2 linked regions of the Lonchura striata genome follow. The protein of the gene in region 1 binds, or shares a complex with, the protein of each later gene. Links are inferred from orthologs where the notes say so. Each region holds a gene or a part of one and is shown on either strand. Other genes may lie near its edges. The genes, in order: MYO3B and espin.

What was found.
Region 2: the proteins of MYO3B (region 1) and espin are in contact, whole or in part, in a crystal structure (PDB 5ET1), measured with the Mus musculus proteins. The link is inferred for Lonchura striata from reciprocal best matches to the Homo sapiens genes MYO3B and ESPN. Residues at the interface, in XP_017174528.1 of Mus musculus: Arg1223, Arg1224, Gln1226, Gln1227, Pro1228, Lys1229, Met1230, Leu1231, Ser1232, Ser1233, Asp1236, Thr1237, Met1238, Tyr1239, Tyr1240, Asn1241, Gln1242, Leu1243; in NP_997570.1 of Mus musculus: Leu35, Ala37, His41, Arg45, Ala67, Asn69, Ala71, His75, Asp76, Ala79, Thr80, Asp101, Ser103, Leu110, Arg113, Phe114, Thr135, Thr137, Ala139, His143, Tyr144, Ala147, Thr169, Asn171, Tyr177, Leu178, Gln181, Ala203, Asp205, Met207.

What each region holds. Positions count from the first base shown.
Region 1 is NC_134610.1:19,878,167-19,894,119, forward strand, and holds the start of MYO3B (myosin-IIIb), read left to right. Parts: upstream 1-7,729; 5' UTR 7,730-7,761; coding exon 7,762-7,908; intron 7,909-9,339; coding exon 9,340-9,474; intron 9,475-12,937; coding exon 12,938-13,042; intron 13,043-13,308; coding exon 13,309-13,408; intron 13,409-15,953.
Region 2 is NC_134626.1:4,188,708-4,204,660, forward strand, and holds the start of espin, read left to right. Parts: upstream 1-6,411; coding exon 6,412-6,705; intron 6,706-7,548; coding exon 7,549-7,742; intron 7,743-9,962; coding exon 9,963-10,149; intron 10,150-10,245; coding exon 10,246-10,428; intron 10,429-10,510; coding exon 10,511-10,642; intron 10,643-10,743; coding exon 10,744-10,918; intron 10,919-11,008; coding exon 11,009-11,313; intron 11,314-12,864; coding exon 12,865-13,026; intron 13,027-13,103; coding exon 13,104-13,278; intron 13,279-13,564; coding exon 13,565-13,591; intron 13,592-14,784; coding exon 14,785-14,930; intron 14,931-15,018; coding exon 15,019-15,300; intron 15,301-15,343; coding exon of another isoform or gene 15,344-15,377; intron 15,378-15,503; coding exon of another isoform or gene 15,504-15,953. Other genes in the region: ACOT7 (cytosolic acyl coenzyme A thioester hydrolase), read right to left, coding at 428-612, 806-922, 1,598-1,684, 2,756-2,870, 3,005-3,096, 3,605-3,761, 4,184-4,423; espin-like protein, read left to right, coding at 15,344-15,377, 15,504-15,953. UniProt on the Homo sapiens protein: Multifunctional actin-bundling protein. Plays a major role in regulating the organization, dimension, dynamics and signaling capacities of the actin filament-rich microvilli in the mechanosensory and chemosensory cells.

The sequences.
Region 1 (15,953 bases):
CATTCCTGCAATAGGAATACCACTGATCAGAATTGATTGTTTGACCTGTTCTTTTTAACAGTCTTTCAGCTCTTTGGATCTGGTCTTGAAAAATAATTTCTGCTTAGTAATATGTAATTAATTTAATAATCATGGTAACTGACTAGGTACATTATTTTATTTAGCATTTGGTCCTTGTAGTTGAAGATATGGAACTGATTACATTTCAGTCAAATAAATGTAACGTATTTTAGTTCTGTGTGAATGATTGGGGCTTTATTTTCAGTGGTACTCAAAATTTCAATAGAAGTTTTTGTTGATTTCTCTTTAGTAGCAAGATACTTTTTACCTCACAGGATAAGATGACTCTCAAAAATACTTGGCTTACCATGTGCAGGAAATGATGTTTTACAATAATTTGATTCTCAACAAAGCATTCAGTCTTCCATCACTGAATATAATTTTCTGTTTTAGTCACAGTTATTTTCTTAAATACACCATGACTACCAGAAAACCTTGGAAGTATTATTTTCCATTAATAATACATTGTGTTAATTTTGTGAAAACAAAATGAAAATATATTTTTTGCATACTGGCAAGAAGTGCAAATCTGTTGCACTACTCATCTCTGTGAATTATGCAGATGCTTTCACCTTTTTTTTTTCTTTTGCTTAACATTCAGTGTCAACAGTGATGTTAGGATATTTATGTTGAACCTGAGTGAAACGGTCTTGAGGTTTTGTGAGAAAGTCCTTTCTCACAGAAGACTGTATCCAGTTTTGACCAAGTAGATATCCCCCAAATAAAATGTTCCTACATTTTTCATAAAAATCTTTGTCAGACGAGAGGAATCAGTCCCTTCTGAGAAGTGGTATAAGTTGAATTTTGTTTTTGGTACATTCTGATTGGTTGTTTTACACATGTGCTAACAGTGCCAGCTACAGTAGATACTTTCTTTTGGAGATACCAGAGAAAAGAAAGAATGAAAGTTATTATGTTGGTATCTTGGGTAAAAGATGCAGACTAATCAAATTCACTAGTTTAACTTCATGAAAAAAGTTGCTTTTTACCTTTCTTTTTCTGAGTTACTGTCTACAAACCTTTCCATTCTAGTCAGATTTCAGCTGTTGTGTATATTCAGTTAAAGAAATTCAGCTATGGAGACCAGAATAAAGCATATTGTATCTCTAAAATCCTATGTAAATGAATGGGATTGGATAATTCTAACAGAAAGAGATTTGATTGTTAATATAATACCACTGACATGAGTAAAAATTAGATATAAGAATCAAAGCACCAAGAAACTTCCTGAAGTATTAACGAATATGTACAGGAAAAATGTGGAGTGACTAGACTTTACCCTCACCTTTAAGACCTTCCTACTCTAGGAAATCCTGTTGGTTTGCTTGTTCTGTTCTTGATTCTACAGTAGATTGAGGGAGTGTTTAATTTATCTCAATGTGTACTCTGTGCGTGTTAAGCAGATCTCTAAGACCATTATTACACTGCTGGCAAGTACCATTCATCTAGAAAATGGGTTGAGGTGAAGCAAACTGGTATGACTGTTACATTTACACAGAGATTACTTGGAGCCATGGGTCTGTGGTAAGAGGGAAGCAAATTCAGAATTAATTTCTGGGAAGCATAAGAAATCTGACTTTTATGGGAGATGCAGTTATGAAGGATCCAAGATGCAATGTTACCTGGACCCCTTGAAAGATGGAAGTTCCTCAAGAGTATTGTGGCTTGGGAGTCACAGGACGAAGTACTAAATAGTTCTGGAGTAAAATAACTTTGTGACTCAGCAATGGAGTCAGGAGTTCTTCCTGATGTGACACAGTCCTGTGAAAAGACTGAAAATGCACACCCAGTCAGAATATTGCAGGGGAGCTGGTCAGGGCCAAAGCTGTACTTTACCTTTATGCAGCCTGGATCTGTTTGCTTATCCAACTGGCTGATCAGGATAATGTATTCACCCCTTGCCCTGAGTAGTTTGATTTATATGGACAATACAAAAATGATCAAACATTATTGGACAAAGGTTAATGTTCTCATAAATATAAGGGTCCAACAAGAGTTTACTTACAAACATTTATAGTGCAATGCATTATTATGCAATGAATCTACATGAAAACATGTAGTGGATTGCCTGAACTAGGAACATACCTCTTTCCTACTATACATTTTCCAGGATATTAATTGAGAGTTTTCTGGTTTAGTTTCCAATCTTTGATCCAAAAATTTGAGTTAAGGTTATGATCTTAGAAGTACCTTTAATTCAGTACTGATTTAGGAGTAGTGGTGTGAAATTTTTACCATTTGACTAGAGTGTTCTTTGCTCTCATTATTTCTAGAGAACTAGGTGACATTTAGATTTCTGTGCCATGATGGTCAGTAGCTGGTTTTGTAGTCAGGTTATTATGGTTGATACTGGGAATGTAGTTGTGATTCATACTGTGATGAACTGGAAACATAGACAAGACAAGAGAGCAAATAATCACAATGCTTTCATCAGAGCTGGCATCCAGACACAATCCATTGCCACTGGTTATCACTCAGCTCTGGCCCTGTGGCTAATAATGTAAGTCTAAAAGCCTAGAGTATCTAGTCCATCCATATAAAGGAACCAAAATAAAAGAAAATAATGAAGATACTCCTGAATTTAAAGAACTTCATGGAGACAAAGAGAGTGTACGTAAGCACAAATAATAAAAACTTTAGGTTAGACGACTATGTGGAAAGAGAGAACATGTTTCCCACTTAATGTTCTTTCTGTTTCCAATTTGAACACCCAGAGTTAATTTCATGGCTTGTATATTCAAGTAAGACTTGTTCTGTGAACTGAATTTATTTAGCGTGTTCTCAGGGATCTACCTTTCATCTATAAATAAACAACCAGTTCTGTTCTGGTTGTCTTGTTTTGTCCCTTATGTTTGCCTAGTGAAAATATGTGATCAGCTAAAGTATGGCTCTTTTTTTGTTTGTAAGTGTTATAGCATCAATAATAGCTTTTGAACATGCTTTTATCCTTCTCCTTCATCTTCTTCCATCGCTAACTTTTATCTCAAAAAAACTATCCACAGCACATTCTGCAGTTCTGCAGTCTCTCTCTCTCTGGGTCCAACTGAGAACAGTTACAGGATGGTGTCTTGATAGATTTTTTTGGTATGCTTCATTTCAAGATATTGACATTCTCTTTGTTTTAACCTGGCCAGTGAGAAATAGCGGAGGAGAGTAGCAGAGGATGCTGTTCTGACTATTGATTTTCTTGTGCCTTTTATTGGTTCATTAATTCCTCTAACAATTGCTTCTGTTGCTTCTGAGGTAGCTGTCTGTGACCACTACTAGCCAGCAGAATAGGGTTTGTCATGGCTAGGTGAGGCCATAGCTGATAACGTCAATTTTACCTTCTGAATTCTTCTACCAAAGAGTTAAATTTAGTGTGGAACCAATATGGAGTTCTCTACAAATAGTGAACTACCTTACTTTTGAATACTTCATTCTTACTCTTCCACAGTGTTTGTAAATGCCAGAAGTGCATAAGCCAGCTGTTTCACAAGACAGACAAGAGGGCTAAGACAAATGGAGCATTGCAGAAAGGAGCTTTGTTAATGGATTATTTGTATGGAAGCAGTATTTTCACTACTTTCATTGGTATGGGCTGGTATTGCTATCATGTCCCTACCAGCTATAAGAGAACTCAAAACTGGTTAGTAATGGGTATTGTTAGAAAGCACCAGGCTGAAGTGAGACTCTAATTCTAAAATCTCTACAGACAATGCATCTTGCTGTAAGGTAGAAGAGGGTGCATTTTGGAATGCAGAAGGGAATCACTGTTGTGTAGGAGTTGAGTGAGGTGGTAGTGAAAATAGAACAATAATTGTAAATCTGTTTCTCTGGCTTATGAGTCCCTTTTCTTCCAATAATTTTTGAGGAAGAGAGCTAATAAATTAGGGAAGAGAGATAAAAATTGATAGATAATAATTGAGGAAGAGAGATAATAAATTTGTGAGGAAAAGCTGCTGATTTTATTCCATTTGTAATTATTTCATTAGCAATATCTGCATGTTCTATATGAGTTTGGATTTTTTTGTTTTGTTTTCACAACCTAGGTGAGTATCACAGTAGAACTTCTGGGACACCAGGTATTTTTCCACATGGCTTTTGTGAGACTGTTTAGAGCCATGGAAAACAGTCAAAAGGCTGTGGTTCACAGATGGAAAAGTGATTTGTGCACTGTCTGTAACCTATACTTCTTTTATGATATCTTATATGACATACATAATACATGTAGTCTGTTTATCCTGGGGATACTGTTAAGGGATGATAATATGCAGTCATTGATTCTAATGATGATTTTGAGAGACATATTTTCTTTCAAAGTATAAAAATATTGCTTGCACATTTGTCTGACTGCCATTTAAGTTAGTCTATCATCCCTCGGATTTAATTTGTCCTGACAGTAAAAGTTTACAAAATAGAAGAAGTCAGGTATTATGAGAGAATAATGAAATTTACTTTGATGGGGAATATTTCTTTTTGTGGATAAAGGAAAGAAACTGTGTCAGTGGCTGAAGCCTCTGAATAAATATTTGTCTTATCGTATTATTTGTCTTGGTTGGTCAGCTTTTTCAAGATTTAAGTTACTATCTCTTAGAGGAAACTATCATGCTCTTTGTCCCTATTCCAGCCTCAGAGCAGCTTGATTAGACACCATCAGTTGGCCTTGTGCTTTCATTCTGTCTTTTCCCAAGTACACAAAACAGGGTAGAGTGCTAGGGGTATGATGATGGCATGTAGTCATGCCTCTAATTGCATAAATATGTGCAGTCCCAAATAGCTTTCTGTAATGTGTTCCCTAGCCAGTAGAGTTAATTGCCAAAGTGTAATTTTTCAGCATCTGGTGTTGTCTGTTTTGCTTGCCTACAAGAAACAAATTTAACCACTAAGAAGTTTTCTCCAACTGATGGCAGAAATATTTATAATTGGTAGGTCTCTAATATGTTGAGGCTTCTTCTGGGGAGAGCTCTGCTAAGTTTTTACAGCTAGAAGCCACTCTCTGTGCATCATTTCAAGGCCCAGAGATGTGTGAGGCCTTACATGAGGGGAGTAAAAGGAGAAGTTTCTTCCTAAGTAAAATTCAGCTGCAGTATTTTAGTGTTAAGATCTTCTGAATGTGTGGTTGTTGCAGAAGTGGTTGGGTTCATACATAACTTTTCACTGTATAAATTAAAAGCCTTTGTTAAAACAAGGATGTTTTAATTTCTGAAGCTTAACAAATCAGGAAATAGAAAAAGAAAGACACAAACTTAGTTCACAACTTCAGCCATTCCCCATAATATTTACATTTTGTGGTGGTTTCAGGTTTTTTAAGTCCAGATTTTACATTATTGAAGATATAGCAGATACTGTTCTTTTGCTATTTTGAACTGTAAAATAATGACTTATGTTGTAGGAATGTAATGATGTCATAGATGCAAAAGGTACTTTCACTGATGACAGGTGTAGAACCTTATTTCGATAGGCATTACTTGACTTCAAGAGGAGTTTGTTTTGGTTTAAACAGAAGAGGTTTATGGTACAAATTTCACATCTCTGATTCCATGTAATGTATAAATATGCCATCTGTAAATGTTGCCATGTTATCACAATGCACAGAAATGCTCACAAAAGTTTTTTTTTTTCCCAGTCATCCGTCATGACTCCATCTGTAAAAATTTTTCATTACATTTTATTTTGCCAACATTGTCTTCTGGTACAAAGAAATGTAAATGTAAATGCAATGTTTGAAGTGAAATGTTCGTAAATTAAATGTTTGGATATACCATTTTAAGGGTTATAATTTTCAGTACAAGAGCAGGCAATGGCATCGGATTTTTTTTTTTTAAGAAAAAAAATGTATTTATCCACAACAGTTGCTTAGGAAGGACACATCATAATATTGTGTTGGTACAAAGAGTGCTATGCATAATTTTCTGGCAAATCTGTGTGATAGGGTAGTTGTTATAGTGACAGAGAACTTAATGTCAATCTGTCGTTTTCCTTGTAAGGTTGTATCAAAGCTATTTCCAGACTATTCTCCTCTCTTTCTTTACCCATGAGTATCTCTAGCATTTTACTTAAACCATTAAAACCACATGTTCAATACGTTGTTGTGTTGTTTTTTGTTGTGAGGTGCAACTGTTCCCATGTTTGTATTCTCCACCACACCCACCCTGCAAACCTTGTTCTTGAGGTTGGCTTATCAGGAGTTCCATATCTGTAGCTGCTGTTTCAGTGCATGTAGTACACTTTGTTCATTGATTTCACAGAAGTCTTTCACCTCACCTCCTTCTCTGTTGATGTACTAAGTTTATGTGTTCAGCATACTGTTCTTTATTTGCAGCATGCTGGATTGGATCAAGTATTGAAGAAGTGTCCTAATAACTTACATTATTGTAGCACATAAATTATATTGACTCTGACTTTTTTTTTTTTTAACTCATTCCCATCTTTTTTTTTTTTTTTTTTCCTTCTTTTGGTGAAGAGACCAAAGCAATTTCATACATTATTTGGTACCAGCTTTGGTGCAAATACAGGTTTACCAAGGAGGGAAATAAAGGTTTTCTCTGGTTATCACTGATGTTAGAAATGGTAAAGAGGTAAGACAGCAAGTTTTTAAAATTATTATATCTGCAACTGTCAGGTGTGCTTAAAAAGAAATGGCTCAAACCTTAAAGTGTAAATGTATGTTTGAGGTACTTGTTGATCCATCTCCAAAAATTGGGAACTTTTGCAGTCAAATGATGGTGTTGTCTTCAATTGCCTTTGTAACAATCACACTCCTGTGATCACACATTTGGACTTTACATCTCCTGGTTAAGCATACAGATAGCTAATATACCTACTGAGAGCCACCAAATGAGCAAAAAATGAAATCCTAAAATGGTATTGTCATTTTCCTAATCACCAGAATTTACCATGTATGTAATTTCAGAGTGAAAAGGAACCCTGTGCATAGGCTGCAATGGTCTGTTTGCTGCAGGATCCATTCAGGAGTGTCTGGGGAAGCAAGTCCCCTCACATGAAGATCTTCGGGAGGTGTTCAGCCAGTGTGACAGACCATAACACACTTTGGCTGGCATGCAGAGAGAGAGCCAAGTGCAGTTGTTGAGAAACAACCCAACAGTGATAGATCACCCACCCCAGTGATGTACCTGTTGCTCATTTTCAAGTTGGCTTGTATTTTGATGCCAACCAGCCCAGTCTTAACTTTTGTTAGCTGTATGTAGGCCTGTTGTATATGTATCAGATATAATGAGGCTATACCTAATGAATGCCTGTCTGGCAATCTGCAGGGAGGATTACACAAATTTATGGGAAAACCCTGATACATGTTTTTAAAACCAGAAATAAGACCACACTTATGAGCTGTGTTAATTTATTTGTGTAAAATGTCTGTTAAAAGAGTGTGCAGTAGAGGGAGGGGTAGGTTTTGTCAGAACTTGTTAAAATGTGTTTGGAATGGTGCTGTGTATCGGACAATGTTTGAAGCAAATAATACACTAAAGTAAGGAAAGAGAAGCAGTCTCCAGTGTTTTCTTTCCATCGAGTGATCTTACATTCCTGTCTGGTTTTCTTTTGTGAGTCCATCTGTATTTCTTCTTTAATTAGGACAATATTTGATTTCTTTATCATAAAATGCCTTCTTTAGTACCAAGTTACTTAGGGCTTCCCACTGTATGCGTATCTGCTTTATTTTCCAGGAAGCCATTGTATGGATTGTTTCAATATAATTCCAGTATGATTGGACTAGAATCATTAGCTGATCCCTCAGATACCTGGGAAATTATAGAGACTATTGGGAAAGGCACTTATGGTAAAGTCTATAAGGTTGCTAATAAGAAAGATGGAAGCTTGGCAGCAGTAAAGATTCTGGATCCTGTCAGTGTAAGTAAAAAAAATCTTAAACTGTAACTTCAATGCTAATTTAAAAGAATTCTTGGAGTTGAAATGTAAATCAAATGTGTAAGATATTGAGAACATCCAGAAGGAAGCAATTTTACAGAATGCATTTAGAGAAGGGGTTAAGTACCAGCAACTGAATGACAACTTAGAATTTCATCATCTTATTTGAGGACAGTGTTTGCCTAGTTTCTGTTTTAGGTCTATGTAATTCTTCTGCTACAAATTCAGTTATCTTTGCTTGGAGCATGCAAATTATGAGAAGGCACAGAGGCATTCCTCATAGGCCCTGCTGTAGCAGGGAAAATACAAGATGCTGTTAAACGTAACGTTCTTTTTTTATTCTGTGTACTCCCTAAATAATTACTTTTCCCATCATATAAACACTGTGAATTTTAGGATATTTTAGAGTTACTTTTTATAAGCAGATAAAAATGTGAGGCAATAATTAAGATAAAAAGAGAAGCGCGCATCCCAGATCCTCAGAGGTAGTTCCGTGCCAGCTCTGGTTTTAGTGGATATTAAATGCCTAGCTTCCCATGAGAACCAAGGCCCTAGTTTTCAATGGAAAATTTTACTGGTTCAGGCTGGATCAAGCTGGAATTTGATTATGACAGCTGGGCTAAAATATTTACTAAAAAATGTTATTTTTTTGTCATCAATGACTACTGAAATTAATAATGGTTTTCTCTTGTATGGATGGATCTGAAGAAGGCACAGGCTTAAATTTTCTAATAGCCAAGTCTGTGCAGAAATGAGGAAAGTTTGAGCACTTAAGCACTGTTCTGAGTTGTGGTCTGTGTGCTGGTATAAACATTATTCTGTAATTGTCACAGAATTCTTTCATTAACAAATACCTAGTAACCTTTTCTTATTTTCACAGGTGATTGTTTTGTCTTTCATTCTTTCTGATGTATATATTTGGTCACAAGAATGTATTTGGTTTTATTGATGGCCCCTTTGAGACTTAGTGAAATGGTTCTCTGTTTAGTCCTATCTGGTGACCATAGAAAAAGGAATAAGTCAAAGGTTCATGTGTTTACATTAGCTCACATGTTAAAAACATGCATGATTTAAAACAGATAAAACAGGTTAAATTTCTCACTTAGACAACAGAGCAGAGTTAAGTATAATTTTTAATTTTCTTGTTATGTATATTGTGTACTGAAAGAATTCTTGAAGAACAACTGTGTGATTTACACAGGTTTCGCTTTTCTGTGTGTAAGAAGAGCACAAGTGGGACAATTCTATATGCATTAAATGTCCAGTATATTGTGCTTTCAGCTGCATTAAAATAAAACTATTTAAAAGTACAAACAAAGAAAAAATTAGTTCTTTTTATCTGTGAGAGTTTGTTCTTGCTTTATTTAGAGTCACTGTCTTTATATGTTCTGTATGTTTGTGTTTTTTACTTAGGATGTAGATGAAGAAATTGAAGCTGAATATAATATTTTGCAGTTTCTTCCCAATCATCCTAACGTTGTTAGATTTTATGGGATGTTTTACAAAGCAGATCAATATGTGGGAGGACAGCTCTGGCTAGTACTTGAGGTAAAAACATTTTGACAATATTACATCTTACCTTAGCATATGTGGTTGGATATTTGTTTGTTATTGCTAAAAAAGTCACAGGCTTTCATGATTTTCTGATAGATGATATGTTGTAGCCTGCTGTTGAAAATCACATCCAAACTTCAAAATTTGTTTGATAGGAAATGATCTTGCATTTAATTTCTGTTTGAATTGCTACATTCTGCCTCCGAAATAAGCAGCTCTTTTTAATTTTTTTTTCTTGTTAGAGGAAACATTAGATAAGACATTTATTTAAACTTTTTGGAGAACTCAAGCATTTGAGGGGAAGGCAAAAGATAATGAAGTAGTGGCATGGAGGGCAGTTAACAAATAAGCTGCTTACTGCAAAAGTGAACGGAGAAAGTGTAATGGGAAAGTCTGCTTTATAGTAATTTTAAACTAGAGGCTGCTTGTTGTTGGAAACCTAGCAACAGAAATGCCTTCTATTCACTTTTCTTGTTCAGTGCCAATCAGTACTCTTACAATGTCAAATGTATTTTGGTGGTCTTGTTTCCACCAAAGTTAAGTGACTGCCAAAGGTGGTTGTAAAATGAGGATTTCTTTCTAGGCTTAATTGATGCAGAACTCTGCACAGGCAGTTACTGCTCTGATGAGCAGTAACAAATCATTCAAGCATTCATTTCTTTCATAACTAGAATGGTAAAAGCTAGGATTAACTTTTTAATTATTGATTGTTTTAAAAATTGAACTCCCCATTCTTGAATGATGACTAGAATCAGAATAGGGAGTCTTTATTTCCACTACAAGTTCTGGAATCCCAAGAGAACATCTAACTTAGATGTACTGGAGCAGTATGTAGCTTGAATGATAACTTTTAAATGTATTTCCTCTCAAAGTTCAGTAACTGCTGAAAAGTGACCTTAGTATTTTTGATTTGGTGTTGGTTTTTTTGTATGCATGCTGTCTTTGTGTTGAGTTTGGGCTTGGTTTCCTCTGTGCTTTTTTAATAGAGTCTTGTCTTTAAAGATTCATTAAGTGCCAAATGAGAGAATTTTATGGAACAAAGTCATCATATACTCTGAAATAAAACTGAATGTAGAATTTGAATAAGATGTGTGGAATTGCGTTTTTATATGTTTTATTACGTTTTCATTCTGTCATGGTTTGTTCCAGTGTACTCCCATACTGTATTGGTTTCTCCCTGAGTTTCCCGCCTTCCCTCGTGTGTCAGTCATCCCAGACCATGTTGAGTCATTCCCCTGTCCCCTCCAGGTGCCTTGTCCGTCACTCGGTGTCCCGTCCCCTCCAGGTGCCTTGTCCGTCACTCGGTGTCCCTTCCCTACCTCTGGAAGCTTCCATCCGAGTGATTGGATGAGGGCCTGGGCCCCGCCCCTGTCCATCCCTCACTGGATCCCACACATGTCAATCCCCACAAGAGACACTCTTTGTGTTTCCCCACTGGCTGATCGGTTCCCCTCCCTCTCCCTATATAACATGTTGCCAGCAGCTCTCAGTTGTTCTTGTTGGCTGGCCTCCTTTGCTTGCTGTTGGGTCCGCAGGATCTCAGTAAACAGCGGAGTTTTTTTGCCCCAACAAGTGCCTCTCCTCGTCTATTCACCGTTGGAATCAGCAGTGACCCCAGAACCCACTAAACACTCTCCAAAACCCCACAGGAGAGCTAGCCGGGGCTGAGGATATCTGGGACAGTGGTCTGGGGCAGGGATGCAGCAAAGATGTATGTGTATGTACTTTATCAATTAAGTATGTGCATTTCAAATGGCTTTTGGTGCACATAATCCAAAGTTTGGAAGAAATTTGATACAATTAAAAATTTCAATATATGGAAAAATTTATTGGACAACCCAAAGTATTCCTTGCCTTGGAATTTACAGCAATTTATAGATTTATGCATGCATAGCAGTAACTTGTGATATTATAAATTAATTACTCATTTTCAGTAAAAGGGAATATACAAAGTATTCAGACTTTCATCCCTGAGTCTTTGATGAAATACATGTATTTGATGTGTGACTTCCAAAATTTGTAATAAAAAGGTGGGCTTTTTTTTCCCTTTAGGCATAGTTTTGCCATGTTTACTCACTACAAACAGGACCTTACTTTGATAAATGCTTGTGATGAGGAAGGGTGGCAAAAGTGAACGCCTTAAGTATTTTTATGATCATGCAAGTCTTGGAAAACTGTAAAGCAAACTTCTCAACTTTTTCGTATAAATGTACATCTCTCCAACTATTAAAGTATTACCATTGGGTAAAAGGTGGTAATGAAGATTCCAAATTCATTTTGTTCGAGGTCTTTGCTGAGTTTCAAGAATAGCATCACAGAGAGCTGCAGTAGTGTTTGTGGGATATATTTTTGAGTCAGGCATTCATTTACCATATCCTACCAAACAGCTGTCAGTCTGTATTATTTTTCAGTTGCAACCAGCTTGGGTTTTTTTTTTTTTGACTTAAGGCATACTTTAAAATATTTTATCTGTGGGCTAGAGATAGATTTAGTATAGTCTGTCCAAACAGAACATTTCATGCTATGAAAGCAATACAAAGAAAACTTTAGCTTAGTCTTGTCAGCAAATGGTTAACCATGGGAAGAAAAACTTGTAGTTCCATGTAAATACATTTGATAATTGATATTGACCTGAATGCTCCTACAAATTTATGAAAGATAAGAAAAATATTCCCTGCTAACAAATTAAAAAATAAAGTCAAATTCCTACAGAACTTATCAATGCTTTAAATGATTAAATTTTGCTTCAAGGTCCTTTTCCATTAACTCAAATTTCTAGTCTAGTGCAATTTTTTTTGATGCAAGGAGAAGTTAGTAATAAGGCAAGTATTGGCATATAACAGAAATCAGTGGTTGAATTGATACACAGTTTTTCATAAAAGCCATTTGAAAGATGCAAATCTTTCAAGATGCAAATGGTTGCAAGAAGCTGCTTCTCTGGATTAGAATGTTTTTCTGCTGTTGACAGTATATGGCATCAAATCTGAGTATAGAGATATGGCTTCTGTCTATTTTATATTGCATGCCATCAGGAGCACTGATGAAGTGAAAGTTTAAAATGACTAATTTGTTGCTTCCCAGTTATCAAGAGCATCAATCTTTTCTGTCTGGGCTATGCATAGAAGGATTTTTTTTTCAAAAAGACAATGCGTGTATTGTGAAAATACTCAAATAATGTAAATTGGATTTATGAATCCTCTTTTAACACTGAAATGCAGTCCTGTTCATATTATTTTTATCTTTTTTGTTACATTTTATAATTTTCAGTTTTCTCTTCTCTCCCTTTACTCAGGCTGCTGTGATTTATATTAGCATTGCCAATAAAATGAGGTCTGTTGTTCCAGACATGTGTTGTAGCACAGTTTTGCATGGTAGGTGTTTATAGCCCAAACAAGTATATTGAGTAACTGAGAACTTGTCTTGCTTTTTTTCCCTCTGCACAACTCCCCCTTTCCAGCTGTGCAATGGAGGTTCTGTCACAGAGCTTGTCAAAGGCCTGCTGAAGTGTGGCCGAAGATTGGATGAAGCTATCATCTCATACATCTTGTATGGTGCTCTCTTGGTAAGGATGTTCATTAGGCTTGGAATGACAGCAGAGGGTGCAATTCACTTATTGCATACACTCATTTTCCATTTATAGAGTGAGGTAATGTGAACAATATTAGATGGTCTGTTATAACAGCAGGGGTTGTATAAAGGTATATAATCTGGTGGACAGCTGTTTCTGTAGAGTTTGCAGATTTTCCTCATTACATTCACTAATAGCAGGGTAATTGTTTTTAAATAAGGGAATAAACTTATTTTTGTTTTGTTACTGCTGGTATATAGGGCCTTCAGCATTTACACAATAACCGGATCATTCATCGTGATGTGAAAGGGAACAACATTCTCCTGACAACAGAAGGTGGAGTCAAGCTCGTTGATTTTGGTAATGACCACTTCCCCTTTGTTTTCTTGATATGCAGTTTAGCCAAAGGCTCTGTTTACTTTCCCCTGGGAAGGCAGAATGCCACGGTGAGACTTTTTCAGAAGCATACTCAGACTTATTTTAAGAAGGAAAAATGCAAAAGGAATCTGATTACAGCAAGAATAAAAATTCTAACTTGAAATCAGTAGTAGAGTTTTAATTTTCAAAAGCTTAAACTTAATTCAATAATTATTAAAATTCTCAACCTAGCATTTTATTTACAAAGCTCTTTTGCATTTCAGAAGAAATGTCAGTTTCAGGGCAGTTGTCCTCCTAATTTAAATTCAGATATTCTGTCTTTTGCATATGAAAAGGAAACATTCTTTCTGAGATGGCTTTTGATAGCCTTAAGCATATTTTTTCCTCTCTGAGCAGAAGGTAAAATAGTCCCTTGGGTCCAAAACTCAACATCCATTTAATTTGTGATTATTGCTCTTAGACTTGGGCATTGCCAGTCTGGATATGTCATAAGAAACAAGAGAGAGAAAGAGAGGGAGGATAGTAGAATGGCACTTGGCAATAGGTTTAAAGTCAGTTCAAATTTTATTCCTTTGAACATGCAGTAGAAAAAAAATGCTTTTGTCCCTCATATACGTATGCAAGGCAGTGGACAATTTATTAAAAGTAACAGAAACAGATCATTAGTAATATGATTTATTAATGAAACCATATAATGTGTAAGGTAATCATCTGAAAATAGTGTATGAATGATATGTTTGTTTAGTAGTGCATGAAGGTAAATAAAAATGTTCACAAAATGAGAGTAGGTAGAATACGTAAAAAAAATCTGCAAATATTTTTTAAAAACCTTAAATTATTACATGTATGCAGTGGAAAGAAAATTGTATATTGGTGATATTATGGTATTATAAATTTAATACACATATGTATTGAAGATGCTAAAGTAAGTTGTTGCATAAGAGATTCCTTAGTATCTTCTAGGGACAAAATTTCATTATTTTGAATTGTAAAGGCAGCAATTAAAATACACCTGAAACAAAACTTGGAGTGAGTCGCTGACCTAATAGAAGAGAGGAAGATCCCTTCTCATTTGGGGGAGTTTTGGCAGTCTGATCTGTGTTTTTACTCCATTAGGGGAAAAGTTGGCTTTTCTCCCCAAAGCGTAATGTTTTTATCAGATGTATTAAAGGCCTCTAAGACAGACCAGTGTGCTCCAACCCCAAGTGACACATTCAAGGAAACTGAGACTTCAATCTTTCTGGTGTCCCTTGGGTCTCTCTGATTCCATATTTAGGTTTCAGGGGTTTTACTTACTTTGTAACTTTTGTTACTTTGTAACAGTAGCACTAGAAAATCACAACAAATATGACAGGCTCAGGAAAAAAAAAGAGACTTAAATCTTAAGTGTTCCCTGCTGCTTAACAGTCAGGAAATGCCAAAAAATACCCATATATCTATGGGCTTTCTGTCTAAAGAAGTATCAGGCACCAAGCTTTTATTAAGTTGCTATTTTACCTAAGTCCACTGCTATAGCCACAGAATGGTCTCTGGGAATGATTTGGGACTGAGTCACAGGTGATATTGTTTGTAGAACTGTTTTGTCTCCTTTTTTTTTTGCAGAAAATAGAAGGCAGATAGTGAAATTGCAAGGAATTCAGGAAGAGAAGGGACTCCAGTTGAGGGAGTTGAATGACATAAAATTGGAGATTATTCTTGCTTCTGCTTGTGTTTATCTGTGATGCTGGAGGGTCACTTACATCAAACTCAGTTCCTCATTTTCCCTATAGCCAGTCTGAAACATCTTGTCCTGCTTTGCAGAACTGTGTGCTCTTGAACGGCAGCTGAGATCCATTGTAGCTGTACTTGAGGCTTATGGAGTGCCTGACAACTGAAAGATCTCAGATTAAGTACCCAAACACACTGGATGCTTTGGATATTTTTAGGTTAATCCCTGGAACTAATAATCCTCTGCCATTTTGTGGGAATGTAAAGTAGATTTGTTTCTTGGTGTGTGGGGAAGGAAATATGTCAAAAGAAAAAGAAAATAATTTTGAATTTCGTATAGGATTGGATATACTAAATAAGAAATGAGAATTCAAATCAGTGGGGTTAAAAATATTAAATTGTGACCTATTCGGTGAATGTTATCCATTCAGTCGAGAGAATGAGGCAGAATCTTGATTTTAAAAAAGCTATTTCATATTCAAGGTTGTACATATGGATATTAGGTCACAGAGAGGGTTACACAGATACCTTTAATTGAGGCTTTTCTTTACTGGATGACTTTACAGCTTGTTTTTTCAACATAACACAGATTTCTTCCCTCAACTGCTGTCAACAGCATAATATATTTGAATAAATGATGGCCACAGTAAATTGACCTAAAATGTCGGCAACTTATTCATTTATGCTCATGCCCACCCTCTCTCAGCTCTTCAGTGTTCTGTACTGTTTTGGAATATCCCTAGATAGCAGCTGTGAATTAGGGTGGCTGAAGAGAGATCACAGTGAAACGAACAGAGACTTCTTGTATGTCCTAGCCATT
Region 2 (15,953 bases), on another chromosome or scaffold:
AGAAGAAAATCCTCAACCTTCACACTAGCAATTTAAAAAATAAAAACAAAAACAAAACAAATGCAAAACAAAAGCAACATAAATAAAAACAAAAACAACATCAAAACAAAACAAAAACAATCAATTTCAAACTAAAACAAAAACATGACAAATCAGAACAACAAAAACATCAAACCAAAACCAAAACAAAACCAAACATACCAATTTCAAAACAAAACAATGTCAAATCAAAACAAAAACAAAACACCCCAAAACAAAAACAAAACAAGCAAAAACCCCCTGAAGCCTGTCCTAGAAGTCTCATTCATGCTCATATTTTTCTGCTGAGTAACTCAAGGGAAGAGGATTCTTGGGCTGGGCTCTGCCCCAGGAGGAGCAGAAGAGGTGATGGCCCTGCTGGGTCCAATTGAGAGAGAAAAGCTCTTACCAGCAGCTGTGGGACAGGCAGGGGCTTCCCCTCCTTGCTCAGGGACACATAGGTGAAGAAGGCGCTGACGGCACGGTACCGCTCCCGAGGCTCATCCACAAAGGGGTCAGCATCCACAAAGACCTCTATTTCCATGGATTTATTGCTTGTGAATGTCATACGTCCTGAGACAGTGATGACGCAGCCTGTGAAACAGAGAGGAGCCAGTGAAGGGAGCAAGGGGCCCTGCATGTTTTATGCTTAAGCTGTGTCTTAAGCGGAGCAGGGACTAATCAAACATGGACTAATTTTCTCTGCCAGCATGTCCTGAAAGCACATCCAAGGGAGCCAGGGTGTGGCAACAGAGGAGATCACAGTGACTGCCACTACCCTTGGTACCTTTTTTGATCTTCTCATGGAAGTTGATGGCATCCACCGAGGCAGTGACAATGTTGGTTTTGCAGTGGCGGGCAGCCACAATCCCAGCAACTTCATCCATGAGCTTCATAGTGACACCTGTGAGGGGAAGCAAGAGGGTCCTGTCTCAAGGAAGTCAGTGGGATTTCAGGAAAACCACACCAAGGTCAGTAAGGCCTTAGCATGGCCAAAGCTATGCAGGGGAGCTGGACCAGAGACAAGTCCCAACTTCAGGAAAATCCAGTACAATGGCTCCTGTCAATACCAGGGCAACCTGCTCACAGACATGTGATTAAGGTCAGCTCTGTCTCTCCCAAATTTCTCTGAGCAAACCTCACCTTTGTAAGGTGAGATCAGTCCCACCAACCTTGAAACTGCTCTGAGCAATATTTGTTTTGTTTAAGGCTTAGGTGTGTGTTGTCCCAACCCTCAGCAAACACACCTCTCCCAGGGCTTACACTACACGTGCCAGCTAAGAGAAAGTTACTTCAGGTAATTGCAGTCACACGCTGCGTGTTTGTACTACAGGATTTGCAATCTCAGAGGCAATGACAAAACTGTAGGATTTACAGTTTCAGTACATGAGTTTTTAGGGCACAGAAAAAGACGAAGCTTTTGTCTCAGCTAAAGCAACTCTGACCCTGGCAGTCAATGCAAAGGGGCCTGTGTGCCTCCACAGGCAGAGCCCACCAAAAACAGAGTCACCACACTTTGCTCCAGGGAAAAGCCATGCAAACCTGCAACCAGGTGCTGTGCAGGGCAGTGCTCACTCACCTCCATGCACAAAGCCCAGCAGCGTGCAGTCTGACGGGCCCACCAGATGGATCAGGCTGGACTGGCTGTAGCCAACAGTGTGTGGCTCTGGTTAGAGAGCAAAGCAAGGTGAGAGCTACTCAGCTGGCACTCATACACCATACACCACTGTCTTAAGTTGTCCAAAGGAAGAAGACATGGGGCTGGCTTGTGCAAAGCTGAACTATGTTGAAAGCAGTGGTTAAATCAGGCTGGAGAAGTTCTAAGAGCATAGACTGTTCACCACCTGACGGGCTGCTGCCTCCCTCTAATCTCCACCCATCCACTTTATTCTAGCTCAGCTTTTTTCTTTCTTTTCAAGCTTTCAAAGAGCATGAAAGCAAACAGGAGTGAACTGGGTTACACGGCTGTCTGCTTCTGCCCTCAGCTGAACCACCCAGACCCTGCTGCAGAGAGCCCCTGTTTTCCCCTTGGTGAGAAGACCTTCACCCCCATGCCCCCAGCCCTGGCACATCCTGGTGACCCCTGTCCCACCACAACCTCCAGGTGACAGAAGTCACACCCTCAAACTCTCAGCAGAGGAAATCCTCTCTCAGAAGTGGCTGTGTTTTCTATCTAATGAGAGATGTTAAAGAAGCTTAGAGAAAGGAAAAGCAGCCCAGTCCCACGCAGGGTGACCACCCATGGAGCAGTGCCCACTGAACCTTACCTTTTGTCTGCCTGTCTGTGAGCAGGGAGGACAGAGAAGAAAAAAGCGTTTGAGCAATTTTCATTCCCCATCACCTCCCCCAACATCCCTCATGTGCCACCTCTCCACTTCTGCCGGAAGACCACAGCTAGGCCTAGAGGCCACCCTTGCCCAGCACTTGCATTTATGCCTTGCTGAGCAAAATCAGCTCTAGCTGCACACAAGCACACAAGGAGTGATATAGGAACAGGGTTTTGGAGAGGGGATCTCATCCATGGGTATCCACATTCAGGGTACCACAGGTATCCACTCAGCTCCCCCTCCACTCACACACTGCTACTCCAAAATCCCATCCCCATCCCTGGTGTGGTGTTTCAGAATGCACACTTGCAGCTACAGGGCCCTGGGGATGGCCAGAGTTGCCCTGGAGACCAGTTTGGTCTCCCAGTACTGCTGGGAAATTTGCACTGGCTCCACACTGCCTGTGTTACCTGGGTTGATGACAGGTAAAATCACATCACCATTTCTCTGCTTCGTTTCCAGACGATCCAGCTTTTGCTCCTCATAACGCTTCTTCCCCTCATCCTCCTGCTCCTTTCTCGCATACTGGAATAGAAGGCTAGTAAGAAGGGGATTGGCAAAGCCACTGGCACAGCTGGGAGTGCCAGCAGGGCCAGGTTAGTGTCATTCCACAGGGAGGACGAACTCCAGTTCAGGGGGACCCAAGTGAGCTGTCCTACCTGGATGGGGGGAACCTCAAGGACCTTATTCACGTTCTTCAGGGACAGCGGCACATACCACAGTGTCGCCTTATTCGTCACCTTCTTTGCCCCTGAGAGGAGAAGGGGCAACAGGTGATGGTGCCAAGGCCAGCAGCGCTGCACCTGCCACCGGTCTGGGGTTGGGCACACACTGGCAATGCCACTGGCATTGTGGCCCCTTGCCCTGCTGGCTCCTACCAGGTTTTAGCTCTTAGCGGATGTGACAATGCGCTTTTGGGAAGGTGTCCCAGCAAGCAGAACTGGTTGTCACAGCAACAGCAGCAAAAGGGACTTTTTCAGGCCAAAGGCAGCCACAGGCAGCAAATCAGGCAGGAAGAGCTACAAACAGATTTTGCTGTTTTTCACTACAATGGAGCCATAAATCCCAGGGAGCCTGCTTGGCCTGCCTCCCCAGCACCAGCCCTCCCTCCACTCCCAGCTCTGTCAATAAACACACTAGATCTCCTCTCTGCCACATCCTGCCAGTGATGGAACAGAGGATGGGGTCACTGCTGCAAGCTCTTGGCTTAACACTGTTACTCCTGGTGTTCTGGGACACAGCCACCAGCAGCCACCCACCTGTTAAAATGTTTTCAGACATGACGTTGACCTGAACCTCCACAGAGTGCCGGGAGGTGTAGGTGATCTCAGCACTGACGTTGGCCACCTCGCCGATGCACATGGGCGAGAGGAAGTCCGTCCGCTCCACCCGTGCCAGTGCAGCCACACAGGGCTCCTGGGGATGGTGAGACAGCCAACACAGTGATCACAGCCACACCACGCGGGACCACAGCTGGCAGCTCCCTGAGACCAGCCAAACATGCCAGGCATGTGTGGCTCGGATACTGCAACCGCCACCTTATCAGCCACTGGCCGCGCTTCCTTCCCCATCTGTAACCAACACCAGGGTTGCCCCAACTTGCCTTTCTCGGGAGTTAAATCATTAACAGCAATAATGAGTAATAATGGTTCTGCTGGTAAACCACAATTTCAGCAGAATGCTTCTAGCTACTGGGACCCTGCCCCAGCTCCAGAGACGCCAGTGGTTTCCATTCAAGAGCAAACATGTCCAGTGTAAGAATCCTGCTGCCCTGAGACACAGCAGAGAGTGAAAGGTCACCATGCCAGAGGCTGGCAGGCACACCGGCACCTACTCACCCCGGCCTGGGAATTGCAGTGACGGGTGCTGATGATGGCTCCTGCCTCCTCGATCATCTTCAGGATGGTTCCCCCGTGGACATTCCCCGCGATGTTGGCATCGTCTGGGCGCATAATCCTACCGAAGGAGGCAGATGAGAGCTCACAACCCCTGACGCGCCCCCAGCCCAGCCCCGGTGTGGCTGCTCGGAGGCAGCATATCGCCCACCGGCTGAGCTGCCGGGCCATCGCTGCTCGCATGCGGTTTCCTGTGAGCGGCGAAGGAAACACCTCCAAATTAACTGCTGGGAGCGGAAGGAAGCAGGACGCCTCTGCCAGGGCAGCCGGCGTCTCACCAGGGCCGCACCCCGCCGGGCCCCGGTGCGGCACAGACCGAGCCGGCCACGTGCCGGTGCTCCACGCGGCTTCCTGGCAGCAGCCGCGCTTTCTGCCAACGGCGAATAACGGCCCGGGGGGCACTGAGGCAGCGGCTGAACGCTGGCCCGGACAGGAGCTGCTGTTTCAGGGCGGCGGTGCCCGGGAGCCGTGGGGACACCGGCGGGAGAACCGCGCCCGGGAGAACACGGCAGCCCTGCTCGCTCCCAGCCCCCGCAGCACGGAGCACGGGCGCGGCGCTGCTGCGCTCTGCCCGCGGCCGGTGTCACTGACAGCATGACTAAACCGGGCGGTGCCGCCGATGTCGGCAGCAGGGCGGGCAGTATCTCGGTTGCAGACCGGCACCCGCCCGCGGCCCCCAGCACGCCCGCCTCCCTACCCAGCCCTGTCCGAGCCCTCGGCCGCGGCGGGGCCGTACCTGGACACCTGGATGGCGGCCGGGCTAGGGCCCGCGGCCCCCGGCTCCGACATGGCGGCACCGGTGCCCCGCCCGCAGCGGCGCTGCGGCACCGCCGCGCTTGGCCGCGCCCCGCCGCGCCCCGGGCACGCCCCGCTGGCCGCGCCATTGGCGGACAGCGCGCGGGGAGGAGCGCCGGCACCGCGGGCAGCCGGGGCGCCGGGCGGCTCCGGGGCTGCCCGCGGAGTCGTGTGTCCCCACCGGGACTGGGGTCTCCCCGCCGCGCCCAGGAGTGCCCTGTCAGCTCCGGGACTCGTGCGGAGCCAGGGGCTTCGGGTCGGCAGGGGCAGCACCGCCCCCCACCACCCGCGTTCCCGGCGCCGTCGGCTCTCTCCGGTTGTAACAGTTCCCGTGGGCGCCCCGGGGTTTTGGGTCGGGTGGTGGCGGCAGTCCCAGGCAGGCAGTGACAGCTCGCAGTGGAGCGCACGCAGGGTCCGGAGGGCGTTCAGGATCCCGCCCGGGGGACGCGGAGTGCCGGGAGCCGCGGCACTCACGGCCTCGCCGACCGCGATCTCTCGGTTCTCGGTAGTGCGAGCGCGGCAGCGCGTCTCCGGGAGGGACCGGAGAGCCTGCGGGCGGACGGAGCCGCCCGTGGGCGCGGCGGGCCGGAAATGCTGGAGCTCTCACTTTGCACAGCTCGGCGGAGCAGGGCGGGAGAGCCGGGCAGGGAGGGCGGGGGACAGGCAGCGAAGGAGGCGGGCAGGGCGGCCTTGCCTTGTCCTCGGTGCTGATCGAGAAGCACCTCCGCTGTCCGCGGTCCTGACGGAGGGTCTCCCCACCCGTGTCCTCCCACGCCGCCCGCTGCCCAGCCAGCGATTCATAAAACTACTTTTCTGAGTGGCGGCCGGGACAAGGACCGGTGCAAGACCAGGTGGATACCAAAGCGGACCGTGACCGGTTGTCGGCACCCCGCGGCCGGCTGAGGCGGGGCAGCCGCCCGCCCAGCGCCCCCCGTTCTGCCTGCGCTGCTAGGGCCGGCAGCGCACGTCGAGGGTGCCGGAGGAGCCCATCTCTGCCGCACCTCTTGCCTGGGCGGGCGGCGGGAGGGGACACCCGTGGGGCCGCTACACAAGGCCGCGGACAGCGGCGCCGGCAGCCGCGAACGGTCCGCCTTGGGGTCAACCCGGACTTGCACCTGTCCCGGTCCTGGTCCCGTCCGCCATTCGGCAAAGCGCGGCTGCACCAGCGGAGGCCGGGGGCAGCGGTGCGGGGGTCCCGAGCAGCGGTCAATCGCCGCGCCGTCGGGCGGGGCGGGCGGAGGGGCGGCCCCGGGGGAGGGAGAGGAGGAGCCGGCGGGGCCGGGGGGCGGCGGGGCGGGAGCGCCGCACAGTGCCAAGCGGCGGCCGGGGCCGCCGGGGCCGCCGCCGGGGCCGCTGGGGCCGGGGCCGCCGCCGGGATGGCGCTGGAGCGGGCGCTGCAGGCGGCGCGACAGGGCGACGTGGAGGCGCTGCGGGGGCTGCGGGCGGCCGGGCTACTGCGGCCGGGGCTGCGGGACGCCCTGGGCGCGTCCCCCGCGCACCACGCTGCCCGCGCCGGTCGCCTCGCCTGCCTCCGGTACCTGGCGGCCGAGGCCGCGCTCCGCGGGGACGCGCGGGCGCGAAACGGGGCCACGCCGGCCCACGACGCCGCCGCCACCGGCAACCTCGCCTGTCTCCAGTGGCTGCTCACGCAGGGGGGCTGCGGCGTGCAGGTGCGAGCGGGGTCGCGGGGGGCGGCGGAGGGTCCCTCGGTGGCGCGGGCGGCCGGGGAGGCGTTCCGCGGTCCCGTGTGGGTGGCTGTGGCCGCGGGGAGACGGTCACGCGTGGTGCTTCCAGCTCTGCCGACGGCGAGCCGGGGTCCGTCCTAGCCGGCACGGGCAGGGCTCCGCCGTGCATAGCGGCCGGCATCCGACGGACCCGGAGAGTCCCCGGCATCCCGCAGGGGTTCGGCTGCGAGGGCAGCACATATTCCCCGGGGCTGCCGCGCCCTCCGGGGGTTACACAACGGCGGGACCGCGGCGGTAAGCGGCTTGCCCCGGGGCCGGCCCGGAGTTAAAGACATGTGACGGCCGAAGGAAGAGGAGGCGGCGGCGGGGCTGGGAGCGGAGATTAATCGGGAAGGAAGGGGTCAGCGCGCATCGGCGACCTCCTGGCCAGGGGCCAGCGCTACCCGCGCCCCACCGAGCGTGGAGGGTGGACGGGCCGGCGGCACAGCGGGGCTCGGCGGCAAGTTCCCGCAGTTAGGGGCTCGGCGGCAAGTTCCCGCAGTTAGGGGCTCGGCGGCCGGTAGAACAAGGAGGGCATTGTGCTGCACTCACTGTGTGCGGACGCAGGCCCTTGACGGAGGGCAGACACGTTGGTCCCACGGTCGCTCCAATGCCCTGTGCTCCTGCTCCAGCCCCGCTCCGTACGGACAGGAACTCCACCCTGGCCGCCCCACCCGCCTGGAATCAGCTCCGGGCTGGGGAATGCCCCACGGCTGCCTGCTGTCCCCAGCCCCCTTGCCGGAAGGGCTTGGTCCCTAGTACTGACGGCCGTCCCACTTCCTCTTGCAGGACACAGACAACTCTGGTGCCACCATCCTACACCTGGCAGCCCGCTTCGGTCACCATGAGGTGATCGACTGGCTCCTCCGCTTTGGAGGCAGCGACCCCACGGCAGCCACCAACACGGGAGCACTGCCCGTCCACTACGCCGCGGTGAAAGGGGATTTCCCTTCCCTGCGACTCCTTTTGGGACACTGCCCCAGGTAACGGTCCCAGCTGCTGGCAGCGAGACAGGGTCTGCCGGAAGCTTGGCACCCACCAGCAGGAGAGGGACTAGTAGGAGAACAGGGTGCCTGCTGTGGCCCCAACCTTCCCTCCAGCCACTGGGCAAAGTGCCAGCACTGGGGACGAATGCTGCAGCCACCCTGATCCCCTAGCTCCAAGGGCAACGCTGCCACGTTATCAGGCTGGGCGGCCAGCTATACCTTCTTTATGGCCCAGAAAGAAAGGGAGAGGAGGAGAGGGGCGAGCGCTGGCAGAAATATTGTCACTGGCCGCTGAGTCGGCTCCTGGCGCGGGGCGATAACACAGCCGCCTTTGTCCGCCCTCTGTTATGTAAATGGATTAGGCTGACCGCCGAGGAGAGGCTGCTCCCCGCGCCGGAGACGACCTTTCCGCTTGCCCAGGTCCGTGGGCATTGCTGGACATGGCAGCCTCTCTCAGACGGCTCCGCGGCGGCAGCATCCCCGCTTTTCCTCCCGAGCGGTACCCGGAGCCGGGCTGGTCCCTGGGTTACGTGGCATAGCAGTCCACAGGGCCCGCGATGCCGGGCCTCGCCACGAGGCTGCAGCAGGTGATTAGGTGGCCGCTAATCCGATTTCCTGTGGTGGGCAGAGGCCACTAGAAATAACTAGAAATAACCCACAGACCCGGCCAAAGCGGAGCCGGGGGGATGCGCTGTTGCTCCACATTGTCCCTGGAAGGCTCCAGGGTTGTGGATGAGACGGATTGCACAGCTCTCCCACATCCAGGGAGTCCTGAGGCAGCGGGATGTGAACCAACACTCAGCATCCCTCTGTCTCTGGGTGCCACAACACTCGAGCCCTGCATCTTTTTCTCCAGGCAGGGCCACAGAGATCCCTGGATCCCATGGCACTTACTGGCCAGAGCTGTCCCAGCCCCAGTTCTTTATCTCCTTGCCCCAGGTGTGCCAGCTTAGCCCTGAGCACTTCTGGGATTAACCCCTGCAGCCTAAACCCAGCCCCAAACCAGTCACTGCTCCTGCTCGATGCCCACTGTGTCAGCCCAGGTGTGGCACGGCTTCGCATTGCCTTTCACGCTGCTTGCCGGGGTTGTTCCGCTGCTGTCACCGCCTTCCCCCTGAATTATTTAGGGCTGGCCCTGCTCCCAGCCCCGCGCCTGCCCGGAGGCTCCGTTACAGCGGGGAAATCCAATCCCTGGTGCCGCTGCGGGATGCTGGCTCTCCCAGCCCACCTTCGCATCGGCCCGCGGGGCCCCCCCGGCAGCCGGTGGCCCAGCATGGGGTCTCAGCCATCTGGCAAAGCAGTTTACTGGTGGTGCCCAAGTGGCTTAACCCCTTCCCAATTACTGAGAAATGGGAATCAGGGACTGACCCAGTGCCTGTGCTCCCGCTGTCTCCAGCTCCCCAGCCCCTGCTTGGGGAGCACGCAGGGCTGTGCCCACCTGGCACTCCTGGACCGCGGGGCAGGCACTCAGTGGCACGGCACACAAGGCACAGAGGGAAGGGAGTGCTGGCCACAGCCCGTCTCACAGTTACAGGGATCAATTATTTAGGGCCTGCGATCGTTGCGATAAGAGAGCAGAGTATTTATTGCTCTTCCTTTTTTAAATATTCAACAGGGTTTTTTTATGGAGCACTTAATAAAACAGCTTCCTGTGGGGTCGGGAGGCAGGATGCGGGATGTGGGATGCAGAATATGGGTCTATGGGGGATGTGGGGTAAAAGATGTGGGATTCAGGATTTGGGCTGCACAGTTTGAGATACACAGTTCAGGACAAGAGACACAAGGATGCCAAGGCCTTTTGGAGCAGTGAGGGGACACCAGCACCCAGCAGCTGTGCCAGGCACTGCCATGGTGCAAGTTGGCCTTTCCCTGCTGGCTCCACGGCTGGTGCTGTGTAAGCAGCTTACTTTAAAATACGACTAAATTGCAGTGTCCAAAAACAGCCAGAGGAAGAAGCTTAGCCTAAGCAGGCTGATTAACTTAGTGACCTCCCGCTGCAGCTGCAGCCACTGCAGCAGCACGGGGACCTATGGGAAGCCATGGGGTGGACAGCTCCCAGCCCTGGCACTGCCCTGCCTGCCCGTAGCTGTTTCCCCTGTACCTGCCCACGTTCCTTGTGTCTCACAAACCCCCATGTCCCTGTATCCTGCCTGCCCCCTATCCCAGCCCTGGCAGTAGCAGTGGCCACATGTGACAGGCGCTGTGCCCCACTTGCAGTACGCTGAGTGCCCAGACCAAGACGGGGGCTACCCCGCTGTACCTCGCCTGCCAGGAAGGCCACCTGGAGATCATCCAGTACCTGGTGCAGGATTGTGGGGCTGACCCCCACGCGTGTGCTTATGACGGCATGACCCCACTGCACGCCGCCGCCCAGATGGGCCACAACACTGTCATCGTATGGCTGGTAAGCGCTGTCCAGACACGGCACGGCGTGGTGGCACAGCATGGTGGCACAGCACAGGGCACAGAGCCCCAGTGCTCAGCCCGCCTGCCCACACAGATGAGCTTCACGACGGTGAGCCTGTCGGAGCGGGACGCCGAGGGGGCCACGGCCATGCACTTCGCCGCCAGCCGTGGCCATGCCAAGGTGCTGAGCTGGCTGCTGCTGCATGGCGGGGAGATCACTGCCGATGGCTGGGGTGGCACACCACTGCATGATGCTGCTGAGAATGGCGAGCTGGAGGTGGGTGCTGGTGGCCAACAGGGTGTCAGGTCAAGAGGGGGCCCTTCCTTCCAGCCCTGCCATGCACCCCCACTCTCCCCAGTGCTGCCAGATCCTGGTGGTGAACGGTGCCGACCTCAGCATCCGTGACCAGGATGGCTACACAGCAGCTGACCTCGCCGACTACAATGGCCACAGCCACTGCGCCCAGTACCTGCGCACCGTGGAGAACATGGTACGGCGGTGCCCAGGGATGAGGGCATGGGGAGCACACAGGGAACACACAGAGCTTCACCACCCCTGTCCTGCTGCCTGACCCCACGGCTGTGCCAGCAGAGCGTGGAGCACCGCGTGCTGTCACGAGACCCCTCGGCGGATGGGGAATGCCGACAGCCTGACTCGGGCATGTCATCGCCCAACACCACGGCGTCGGTGCCCCAGGCGCGCTTCGAGGTGGGCTCCCCTGCCAGCACCCTCTCCAACTACGACTCCTGCCACTCCAGCCAGTCCAGCACCGGGGAGAAGAGGGGTGGCCTCCCAGGGGCCCCCGCCGCCCGTGAGTGCGGGGCCAGGGGGCGTGGGGCGGGGGGTGCGGGTCCAGCCCCCCCTGACCCCCTGCCCTGCGCAGGGGTGCCTGAGCCGGCGTTGGCGGACATGCAGGCGTACATGGACATGCTGGACCCCGAGATGCGGCCACGGGGCCGGGGCCCAGCAGGCGAGGGTCCCTCGCCGCCACCACCCCCTGCCTTCCCCCCACCACCACCCCCACCCCCAACCACCCGGCCACCCCCGCCACCCCCTGGCTACCCTGCACCTGCGCCCCCCGCTGCCCCCCACACCGCTGACATCTACGTGCGGGCCAAGAACAACCTGCGGCATGTGGAGAGCCAGGCGCTGCGCCGAGAGGTACGGCCCCATGCACCATGTCCCCTGCACCACGCCCCATACACAGCTCAAGGGACATACCACTCGGGAGGGACTCGCCACCAGGCACCCATCCCCATTTGAACAGTTGTTGCCTGCACTGGGAGGGGACAGTCCCAGCTGAAGGCCACATGCCTGCGGCACTGGCATGCACTGGGGGGGGATAGGGCTCAACCAGCAGCAAGGATGCAGCAATCTGAGGCCAGTGATGCTCTGGTAGCTCCACGGCACTGGGTGGGCCCATTGCACAGCTGCACCGGCTGGGGCACCTGGCAGCATCATGCCATGGCAGCCGCGCCCATGCGGCCCGGCCATACCACAGGCACCATGCCGAGCTGGGCGTGGGCAGCTGCGCAGGCAGTAACCCGAGCGGCCGGCTCCGGTGTCGCCCGCGCCACAGGTGTCGGGTGGCACAACCAGCGCTGCCAGGAGCTGAGAGGGCTCAGCCAGGCGTGCACAGGTAAGAGGGGTGCAGCCCTCCATGGCGGGTTGGGGGGGCATAAAGATGCAGTAGGTTTGGGGCCACCCTGACCCCCTACCATGACTTGCACCACCTCACTGGGGACAGGATTCTGGGCATGGTCAGGACACTGGCAGAGCTCAATGCTCTGGGGGACAGGGCACATGGGATGGGTGTCTCAGCAGGGCAGTGTGTGCCAGGCATGTGATGGGCTCAGGACCTCACAGTGCTTGCTGTGCACAGCCTTGGCTCTTTAGTGCTTACTGGAGTAATGGACTGCCTTGGGGAGGTGTGGGTGTGTGGTAGAGTGGTGCCACAGTGGTGCGGGTGCCCTATGAAATGGGACTCAGCAGCACAGACCCTTGTGCCCAACCAGAGCTGGGACTGCTAGAGTGGGAGCCAGGCTTGGCACAACTCCCATGGCAGCTGGAGTAGGAAGCACCAAGCTGACGTTTGTTGACTTAGCTGGAGCTGCTGGCGGTGGCAGTGAGCACTCGGGCTCACCAGCTCACCATGAAAATGCCATGGGTGGAGGTGGCATACGGGGAAATGCAAATAGAGGGGCCCCCAACAAGGGGAGCAGGGCTATGCCACGGTGGCAGCCCAAACCCAGGGAGTAGGCACAGCCCCCTGCAGCACAGCACTCGGCTGCACAACTCGCAAAGCCGCTGTGGAATGTGCCGGGGTGAGCTGAGGCTGCGCTGCTTGAGCGCCCTGTCCAGAGGGAGGTTTGGAACCGGGCCCCAGCCCCGCGCGGGATAAGCTTCCTGTAATCCGCGGGGCTGGGGCTCGGCACTCCTGTTCCCAGGGGGTTATCCCGGGGGAGGCTTGGACAGGATCCTGGGCACAGGCTATGGGGTCACAGTGCCAGGCACTGATGCTGCATGCTGCCAACATGGCACACAGCCCCTGGCAGAGCCGTTTGCCGAACAGACCCCAGGGCATGCACCTGTTGTCCGTCCCAGCTCTCCATCTGCCCCAGGGCAAACCGCTGGCACGGTCCTACTCCACTACAGCCCCGCACCACGGTCATAGCCGGGCACGGCAGTGCTGAGGTGGGCTCCCCATTGCAGCTGGCATCGCGTGACAGCAGTCCCGAGGGCCTGCGCCGGGCCGACTCCAGCAGGCGGTCAAGGAATTTCGGCAAGCAGCCGAGCACCGGTGACTACTACAAGCACCTGGGGCACGTTGTGGCCGAGCAGGCAGGCCCCCAGCGAATGGCGCACACCGAGGAGGTGAGCCCCGCGCCGCGAGCCTGTGCACGGCTCGGTGGCACCGGCACCGAGCAACGCCTGCCCATGCTCCCTTTCAGGCATCACCCATCTCGGCGGACACCATGAGCAATGGGGAGAGCAAGTCTGGTGCCGAGCTGCCGCCTCCACCCCCGCCCCCACCACTGCCCGACACCTCCTGCCCGACACCCCCACCGCCGCCCCCACTCGCCGAGACTCCCGCTGGCCCCCGCCGCTCCTCCTCGTCTACGGGAAGTAAGTGGCAGGGTGCCGGGTGGGCACGGGGAGTGATCCTGGGCACTGTCTCTTGGCTGCACTGTGGCTTTGACCTCCTTGGCTCGTCTCCTCCCGCGGCACTCGGGCCGCGCGGCTCCTGACAGCCTCTCTGTCCTTCTCTCCTCCGGTGTCGGCGCGGGGGCCCCCACGCCCGCTCGCCCCTGCCTGCTCTCACTGCTGGCCGCTTCTCTTCTCTCTTGTCTCGCGGTGGCCAAATCCTTCCTCTGCCGCGCGCCCCGCGCCGCCTCTCTGCTTCTCTCCCTAGGAGGAAAGGCGCTCAGGCAGATGAAGAGTAAGTACCGCGGCCCCACGCTCCTCCCTGCTCAGGGGGTGCCCTGGCGCGGGTGCCGCAGCCACGGGGCACCGACGGCCGCTGGGGCTGTCCGCTGCCCGCGGCGCCCTCGCTGCGCGTCGCCGGCCGGCGGTGGCACGCGGGGAGCCCAGCGCCGGTGCGGGGCTGCCGGAGGCGGAGGCAGGGCTGGCGGGGCTGGGCGGGCAGCGGGCCCCGCGGCCCCCGGCCCCGCACACAGAGGCCCTTTGTTCGCGCTCAGCCGGCCGGCGTGACCCCGCCACGTGAGCGCACCGGCCGCTCCCCCGCCGCTGACCGCGGCCGGCGGGCTTGGCCGCCGCTCGGCGCCCGCTTTATTAGCGCCGGCTCCCGGGACCGGGGGGTCTCAGCCGGCGCTGGATGGCAGCGCGCACGTCCCGCTGGGCCCTCAGCACCCGCAGCCCTCTGGCTGCGGCGTGGCGCAGCCGAGCGGAGCGAGCTGCGGGCGCCGGCCGCGGGCAGGGGGCTTTGCCTTGGCGCGGGACCATGGGCCGTTAGGGACTCACGCATGGCTGGCACGGACGGTGGGTGCTCGCGAGGCGGGTGGCGTGAGCAGTGGGAAGAGCATCCCCGGGGTGCCGGTGCCACGCAGCCCTTTGGGCACCGGGCTGGCAGGGAGTCTGGCTCAGGCTGTCGGTGCATCGCTGCCGACAGCTGTCGGGAATGTAAGGGCCATCCTGCAGCGACAGGGATGCCACCGGCCACGGAGCCATCCCTCCAGAGGCACACTTCTGTTGCAACATAGTGCCTCGGGGGCATGGAGTGGCGTTGGGGCTGGGGCCAGTCTGGGACCCTTGCAGCTGAATGCCGGGGTGCTGGGGTGCTGCTGCAGCAGAGTGCTGTGGACCCTGTAAGCTGCTGTTGGAGTGCTGGTCTTAGAGATCTGTGGAGCTGGGGTGCCAGGCTATTGAGTTCTGGGGGGTGACTCCTCTGGGGTCTGATGGACCCAGGAGTTCGGTGATGTGCTGTTCCTGTGGACTGGTGAGCCGGGTGTCTGGATGCTGCTTCAGGGGTGTTCCAGGGGCTCCTGGCAGGCACGGAGGGGGGCAGTCAGCCAGCCACTCCTCCACTCCCCTACCCTGCAAGCTGCTGGGGAATTCACAGGGGCAGGGAGATTGTGCTGGCAGGGTGCTTACTGCCCTTCTGCCTCCCTTCAGGCACCAAGTCCTTCAACATGATGTCCCCCACCGGTGACAACTCGGAGCTGCTGGCCGAGATCAAAGCTGGGAAGAGCCTCAAGCCAACGCCACAAAGCAAAGGCTTCACCACTGTCTTCTCCGGCAGTGGCCAGGCAGGGGCCAACGTAGGTGGTGATGGGGGCCAGGGGAGCCGGTGGCGCGACACAGCACAGCACGGCAAGTGCCCACTGCCCTCCCTCCCTCCTTCCACAGGCAGAGTCGCCAGTGTCCTCCCCGTCACCCACCAGGACGCCCACCCCGCCGGCCACCCCCGAGGCTGCTGGGCCACCACGCTGCCTGGCAGGGGGCTCACCAGAGCCAGTGCTGAACGGAAGCTCACCGGTGCCAGCAGCAGGCGCTGGGGCAGCGGTGGAGGTGGAGGCGCTGGTGCCCAGCCAGGACGAGCACGGTCGGCCCATCCCCGAGTGGAAGCGGCAGGTGATGGTTCGCAAGCTGCAGCTCCGCATGCAGGAGGAAGAGGAGCAGCGGCGCAAGGTAGGGGGGTCCCACGCGCTGCGGTGGCGAGTGCAGCGCGGGCATGGCCCAAGCAGCTCAGGACCCGGCGAGACGGCGTGCGTGGCATTGCCTCTGGCTCCTAATTGGGCTGGGGACCACCCTACCTGCATGCAGGGGAGTCATACCCCGGGGATGCCACACACGGCGGCAGTGGCACGAGGTGCGTGCGGCATGGCCCTGAGCCCCTTTGCCCTCTTTCCCGCCGCAGCCTGGGAACCGCTCGCCGCCCCTTTGCCGGCGCGGGTCACCTGCCCGCGGGGGCTTATCGGGACCCGCCGGGCAGCCGATGCGGGAGGAGGACATGCAGCACCTGGAGAGGCAGCTGGGGAGCCTGCGGGTGATGCACGAGGCGCAGCTGGGGCAGCCGCTTCCAGGGGGGCCGGAGGAGCTGCTGCCACTCGTGCCGCTCTCTGCCCCCCCGGCACCCCAGCGCTTCGCCCTCGCCCACGAGGATGCGCCTGCCCGCGGCAGCCAGTCCCCCACACTGCCGAGGAGCGCGGCCGCACCGCCAGCCGCCCTGAGGGGCCGGGAGGGCCCCGGGGCGGGGGGAGCAGCGGGCAGCCCCGGTGCCCAGCACGACGCCCGGCGCGAGATCCTGGGCTGCGGTGTCTCTGTCCGTAGCCTCAAGGCCA